Canis lupus familiaris: one gene and its partner. The protein of the gene in region 1 binds, or shares a complex with, the protein of each later gene. Links are inferred from orthologs where the notes say so. Each region holds a gene or a part of one and is shown on either strand. Other genes may lie near its edges.

What was found.
Region 2: the proteins of AGT (region 1) and DPP3 are in contact, whole or in part, in a crystal structure (PDB 5E2Q), measured with the Homo sapiens proteins. The link is inferred for Canis lupus familiaris from reciprocal best matches to the Homo sapiens genes AGT and DPP3. Residues at the interface, in NP_001369746.2 of Homo sapiens: Asp25, Arg26, Val27, Tyr28, Ile29, His30, Pro31, Phe32; in NP_005691.2 of Homo sapiens: Phe109, Glu316, Tyr318, Glu329, Phe381, Gly385, Ile386, Pro387, Ala388, Gly389, Ile390, Asn391, Ile392, Asn394, Arg399, Val412, Leu413, Val415, Ala416, Phe443, Val447, His450, His455, Glu507, Glu508, Asn545, Arg548, Leu552, Glu555, Phe556.

What each region holds. Positions count from the first base shown.
Region 1 is NC_049225.1:9,068,226-9,072,040, forward strand, and holds part of AGT (angiotensinogen), read left to right. Parts: intron 1-2,922; coding exon 2,923-3,190; intron 3,191-3,815. UniProt on the Homo sapiens protein: Essential component of the renin-angiotensin system (RAS), a potent regulator of blood pressure, body fluid and electrolyte homeostasis.
Region 2 is NC_049239.1:51,338,248-51,341,143, reverse strand, and holds the end of DPP3 (dipeptidyl peptidase 3), read left to right. Parts: intron 1-440; exon of another isoform or gene 441-539; intron 540-1,770; exon of another isoform or gene 1,771-1,802; coding exon 1,803-1,975; 3' UTR 1,976-2,340; downstream 2,341-2,896. UniProt on the Homo sapiens protein: Cleaves and degrades bioactive peptides, including angiotensin, Leu-enkephalin and Met-enkephalin. Also cleaves Arg-Arg-beta-naphthylamide (in vitro).

The DNA of each region.
Region 1 (3,815 bases):
AAATAATTGTTGAAGATTTATTAAGTGCAAGCCCCTGAGCTCGGTGTCTCGGAGGGGAGATAGATCCCACAGGCAAATGTCCCCCGCTACAGAGCTGCAGATTAAAGCACCTACGAAGTGCCTAGGAAGGTCCTCCGAGGCTCGGAGCACTTGGAGGAGGGAGAGTCACTGGGGAGAGGACAGAGGCCCAGGGGAGGTCAGGGGAGCAGAAGAAGAAATGTGTGAGCAAAGGCTGGCGAGTTCAGGGCCAGGAACCAGAGCAAGGGCAGCTCTGTTTGGCCAGAGCTCAGAGTGAACGTGGAAGGCAGAGCCTGGAAAGATGGGTTCGGGCCAGATTTTGGAATGCGATTTTGGGAAGGTTGGCGGGTGTTGGAGCAGGCAAAGTGTTCTGTTCAGAGGTCATCCGGGCGGCCGGGGCTGTGTGCATTGGAGGCAGGGAGGGTCTCGGGAAGGTTACGCAACGGGCAAACTGTCCTGGGAACACGTGCTGAGGTAGTGGCTCTGCAAACTGATGGGTGGGCTGGGGAGGGTGCATTTGAGAGCCAAGTGAGCAAGCAGCCCAAGGATGAAACCAGAGACAGAGAGGTTTCATAGAGCATGACTATTTTCTTACTCCGAAACATCCTGGACGTCTGTAAACCGCAAAGGGAAGGACCTCCGGCCCGTTTAAGGGGCAGGAGGAAGATGATAGACCAGGACTGCTCAGGTCCCAGTGCTGACGGGTCATAGGAGCAGAGTCCAGCACAGGGACCATCCAGCTGAGGGGAGCCCCACCCCACGGAGGGCAGAAGGGACTCGTGGGCTCAGCCTGCCGTTCCTAAGAAGCCCCAGGCGGAGAGCTCATTGAGAAAGTCGTGCCCCCAAAAGGCAAAGCTAGAGAGCCACGGGTGTCAGAGATGGGGTCTCATTCCGGAAGAGCTCCTGTCCACGTGTTCTCATGATGCAGCTGGACAAGAGACATAGAGACAAGGAAACCACGCTCAGGACTCAGATGCTCACCCAGCCCCACCAGGTCCCACCCTCTGATCTTGCTCCCTGACCTTCCTATGCCTGTTTCCATCAAACAGGGATGCACAGCCCCTCCCTGCCCACCACAGTGTGCCCACAGAGGAAGCAGCAGGCTGTCCTGGGGGATCTAGGCTCCCCTTTGGTGATGATGTTCTATTGCCATGACCTCAGCAGACAGCTGGATGCTCCTGACCTGTGAAGACGCAGGGACTGGGAGCCCCTGAGCTGTAGGGTGCCCTTTGCCCAGGCCTCGCTGTCATCCCGAGCTGCTGCTGGCCCTGGCAGGTTCCACAACACCAGTTGACTTAACCTTGAGAGATTTACTTAACCTCTGGATGAGGATGGTGCAGCTGAGCAGACAGGACAGGGCAGCCACCTCTGTTTCAGATTCTCACATCTTTCTGTTTAGTCCTCTCTTCCCCTAAATTGACAAGTCCTCGGCCAGGCCTGGTGGGCCAGCACAGAGGGCCCCTCGGGGAGTCTGGGAGGAGGGACGCTGCAGCTCCTCACTCCCCGTGGCCTCTGAGTATCAAGGAGCAAGAGGACGCTGGGTTCCCCAGTTCCTTCTCAGGGGAGCCAGGCCCTGGGAAGGCAGCCCAATCAGCCACCTCCCCCAGGCGCCCGTCCTTCCAGCCTCCACACCCCCCAACCACCTTGGAGACGTCTGGTCCAGGAAAACGAAGCCCTGGCTCTTTCACCTGCCTCTACTCAGATTCCCAACTGGCCGGCACCCAGGGGCTGCTCTGTGACAGACTCACCATCACCTCATTCTTCCAGAAAGAGCCCCAACATGGGTGATGAGGCTCCTAAGACAACTGAGAAGAACGCAGGGAAGGGGCTGTGCTAGTGGCTGCAGTCATGGAGAGATCCCCGGGGACAGGGTCTTCAGCAGGTGTCCACCCCTCATCCTGTGACAGTTGAACCAGGTGGCCACTCTGCTCTGCCACTGCCAGGCACCAGACAGGTTGGCCCCGCACTCCCCTGCAAGGCCCAGTGTGAGCTGGCATAGAGCACTGTGCTCAGAGCCACTGGTCACACCAGGTCGAGCGTCTATCCCTGGCAGCACGGGAGCCTGAGACATGGAGCCTGGACGTGTGTGCCCAGGTCTGCATCCTACGACTTGAGAAAGGGAGACTCTCAGCTGGCAGTGTTCGCAGATTGAAAAGAGAATGTGCTCCGAGCACACGTAGGGCCGAGGAGCTACTCCGGATGATACTGTGATGGTGCACATGTCATTGCACATTTGTCCAGACCCACAGGACGTACAGCACCAAGAGTGAGCTCTAACGTCACCCATGGTCTCTGGGTGACAATGACGTGTCTGCGCAGGTTCATCAGTGTAACAGGTGCCCCACTCCTTGGGAGTGTCGACAGTGTGGGAGGCTGTGCGTGCGTGGGGGTGCTGGGTACATGGGAAAGCTCTAATACCTTCCTCTCAATTTTGCTGTGAATCTAACTTCTCTAAAAAAAATTACGTCTATTTAAAACGAAGAAAGTGAGCACGCAGACCACGGCTTTGGGCCAGGCCAGATCTGGGGTGCGTTTACAGGGATAGTTCGGCGTGGCCTAAGTTCCCTATGCTCTCTGGTTTCCCTTGCGGGCCTTCCGGTGACAGGTGTAAAGTCCCAGTGTGGCACCTGCTGTGTGAAATGGCTTCGACACTGGCAGCTGGTGTCTCTGTAGTGAACTCAGGTGGTTGGATTTTGCAGGAGGAAGTCGTGGCTGGCCCTCAGGGGTCCTGGAGCTGCTGAAGCGCTGGGGTGGCAGACTGGCCAGCGGCCTGGGGGTGTGCTGGGAGGGTGGGGGGCACAGGCTAGGCCTCCGGGGTCTGGGGGGCATCCCCAGCCCTGAGCCCAACCCGCCTGCCCCTGCCTCAGCCGACTCTTCCTTCTTGTCTCCTCTCTGGCTCTCCAGGAAAGCTAAAGGGGCTCTCCCCCCTGGCGGGGCTGCGGGAGTTCTGGGTGGACAACACCACCTCGGTGTCGGTCCCCATGCTCTCGGGTACAGGCACCTTCCAGCACTGGAGCGACCCCCAGAGCAACCTCTCCATGACCCAGGTGCCCCTCGGCAAGAGCGCCTGCCTGCTGCTGGTGCGGCCCCTCAGCACCTGGGGCCTGCAGACGGTGGAGGCCCTCACCTTCCAGCACAACTTCCCGACGTGGGTGAAGAACCTGTCTCCCCGGTACGGCTCCCTGGAAACATCCTGGCACCCCCTTGGCTGGTCCCCTCCTGGAAAGTGGGGGCCTGGGCCCAACCTTCTGCCCAGGGTGGGAAGGGGTGTGGGGTGAGCCCGGGCCCGGGACAGGGAGGGCTGTTCCGGAGCAGAAGGCCTGTGTGACCCCGGTCCTGCAGCATCCCTCCCTCCATCCATTGACCTAGCTCTCGATGTATTGTCTCCTCCTGGGAGTAGAAGAGGTAAAGGGGGGTGGGGGGTGCTCTCCTCAGGCTTGGACTCACCCACTGGTTTTGGAAGCCTGCATTTCAGTCCACCCTGAGAGGGGGACTTTTTCAATGCCATCATCCCCTGTACCCCCCACCCACTCAGCTACATTCCAAGAGCTATTTTGGGGCCTGGCTTCCCAGAAGGGTTTGGACCCCCCTGAGAGCTGAGGGCGGGGCTTTCTCTAGGAGCTGTCCTGGACCCCAGAATTCCTCGGCTTGCTCCTCTTTCCTACCGTGGCAGGAAGAAAGCCATCCCCCTCCACTGGGGCGCTACACTTGACCTGCACCCCTGGCCCAGAGCAGTGGGGTCCAGAAATCTGCTCTGAGACAGGCACTTAGGAGTACACTGGCCTCCTGAGGGCAAC
Region 2 (2,896 bases), on another chromosome or scaffold:
ACACATTTAAGAGGCTTATTTCCAACTCTTTACACTGCACTTCAGAGGCTTCAGGGGGTTTGACCCTGACCCCTGGAAGGCCTCAGAGACCCCTCTTCCTGGCTCACTGGCTCCCGGGGCTCATCGCCTTTCTACGTTCCAACCCCCTGAGCTCACTCCCCTCCCATAGCCTTTGCACTCACTGTTTCCTCTGCTGGGCACAGTCTGTGGTTGGTCCTTCCTATCATTCTGGTCTCTGTTAAAGACCCCTCAACCTAAAGCAATCCCTTCATGCACTATCACTCTACTATTTTCCTATATGCCATACTTCATATCAGCAGGAATAGCACATCCCCAGCAAGTAGCTAGCATAGAATCTGGCACACAGGAGCTGCTTAATGCATGTCAGATGAGTAATAGACAAATCATGCCAGACACGGAGTAAGTGCTCATTACATTACCATTTTGATTGTCCAGCCCGTTGTGGCTCTTGGGGATGGAGAGATGAATCAGACCCAGGCCCTTGCCTCAAGTAGTTCACAGTCCATTAGGAATAAGACCTAGAGAGGAATGATCACAGCCAGGGAGTGTTAATAAGCGCCCAAGGGGGCCAAACGGTGTCTGAACACTTAGAGAAGGGAAGATCACATTCACCTTTGAGGGAATCTGGGGAGGAAGTAGTTAAACTAAGCCTGAAGACCAAGTGGGATTTTCAAAGGGATGGTGGTGATGGTGGTGGTGGTGATGATGATGATGGTGAGTAACTTTGGAGGACTTCCATGTGCCAGTCACTGGGTAAAAACTTTGAATGGATTAACTCCCAACAGCCCCATGGGGAAGTTATTGTTTCATTTTTCAACTGGAAACTGAGACATTGAGGGGCTGTGTATTTGCCTGCGGTCAACAGTTAGTGGGTGGCAGAACCAGGATTTAAACATGTGCTGTCTGAACCCAAAGCCTGTGCTCTTAGCTACATACACCCCACAGTGCCACAAAGCATGACAAGGCTCTATGAGTGGGTGGAACAGTGAAAGTATGTCGGAGGGAAATGCTTCCCATGAGGACTCAGGGGACCCTCAGAACAGCCCATGAGTTAAATGGGTGCCCCTTTAGTTCTTCTGAGTGCTCAAGATAACGATGCTAGTGATAGCTAGCACTTATTGAGCATTCATTCGATGCATTATTGTATTTAATCACTGTAGCTTCTTGAAAGAAGAAGCCCTGTGCTCACCCCCACTTTATAGGTGAGGAAAATGAGGCTTGGACAGGTTGTGAAACTTGTCCAAGGTCCCACAGTAGTCAGAGATGAAACAATTGCTGGACTGTACGCTCCTGGAGGCCAAGGACTGTCTATTTAACCTAACATGGCACCAGAGTATACACTTATTAAGTGAATGAATGAATGCAACAATTCATTGAATACTCCCTCTTTAATGCTCCCTTCCTCATCAGGTTATTGTAGAGATTAAATTAGATAAGAAGACACTGAGCACAATTTTTGGCACATGGTAAGAGCTCAGGAAGACTACCTGCTCCTATGATTATGATTGTGATTATCTGCTTCCTTTTTTTTTTTTTTTTTTTTAATTTTTATTTATTTATGATAGTCACAGAGAGAGAGGGGGGGGGGGGCAGAGACATAGGCAGAGGGAGAAGCAGGCTCCATGCACCGGGAGCCCGATGTGGGATTCGATCCCTGGTCTCCAGGATCGTGCCCCGGGCCAAAGTCAGGCGCCAAACCGCTGCGCCACCCAGGGATCCCGATTATCTGCTTCCTATTAAGACCTTTACCTGCTGATGTTTTTTTTCCTTCTCCTCTCCAGACTCAGAAGTACAGCTTCTCGAGTATGAGGCCTCTGCTGCTGGCCTCATCCGATCCTTCTCCGAGCGCTTCCCAGAGGATGGGCCCGAGTTGGAGGAGGTCCTCACTCAGCTGGCCACAGCCGATGCCCGGTTCTGGAAGTGCCCCAATGAGGCCTCATCTGACCAGGCTTGAGAGATTTATGCAGCTCCTCCCCCAACTCCACCAAACCAGGGTTGCAAGTGACCCCCCTTTCATTTGTGTGCTAGGGGAGGAGCAGGAGCTCGCACCTTGGTGCTACCTCAGCCAAGGGTGGTGACACTAACCCCTTCCATTTGTGGGCACTTGCCAGTTTACCGAGTGCTTCTCCTGTGTTATCTCATTTGATCTGCACTGCCCTTGGAAAGAGTGGGCAAGGCCGGGCTCCTTATGCTGCTTCCCAGATAAGGGAATGGAAGTTCTGAGAACTATCTAAATGCTACAGGACTTAAAACCTCTCCCAATCCAGTGCTCTTCATTACTTTTATAACCAGAAAAATAAACATTAGAAACAACCACCATCTTTGGAATTTGTGTGAATCTTTGATTTTTGCCTTGCTTCTCATTTGCTCCCAGCAGGGCAAAGGGATCAAGGCCTGGGGAAGGGAAGAATGTCAGTTTAGGTTCCCCTCCACAACAGGGTTTTGATAACACTTCTAAATGATACACAGCCATGAGGAGGAGCATAGCACACTTTCTGCAGTTCTCCTTTGTGGCATTATCCTGTATTTAAAAATATTCCAGGAACCTAAAAACTGGAAACTCAATTTCAGTCAATCCTAGGATTTAATCTCTTAACACTATGTTTTGTTTCTCTGAGCGCAGCCCTCTAGAAGGACATAGCCCCTTTTCAACCGGATTAACCATGAGGAGGAGGAGGGTGTAGTGGAGTCAGTTTCGCTGCTCTCCAGGCCAGAGGGTCCTGCCAATAATCCAGAAATTGCAAAGCCAGGAAGTTCCGGCTGGGAAGGAGCAAAAAATAAATCATACCAGTTGAGATTAGGAACTGCGCCTCAGCAGGCAGGAACCCAACTAACAGGCCAGCATATCCTGCTGGGTAACCCCGGGGCCGGAAAG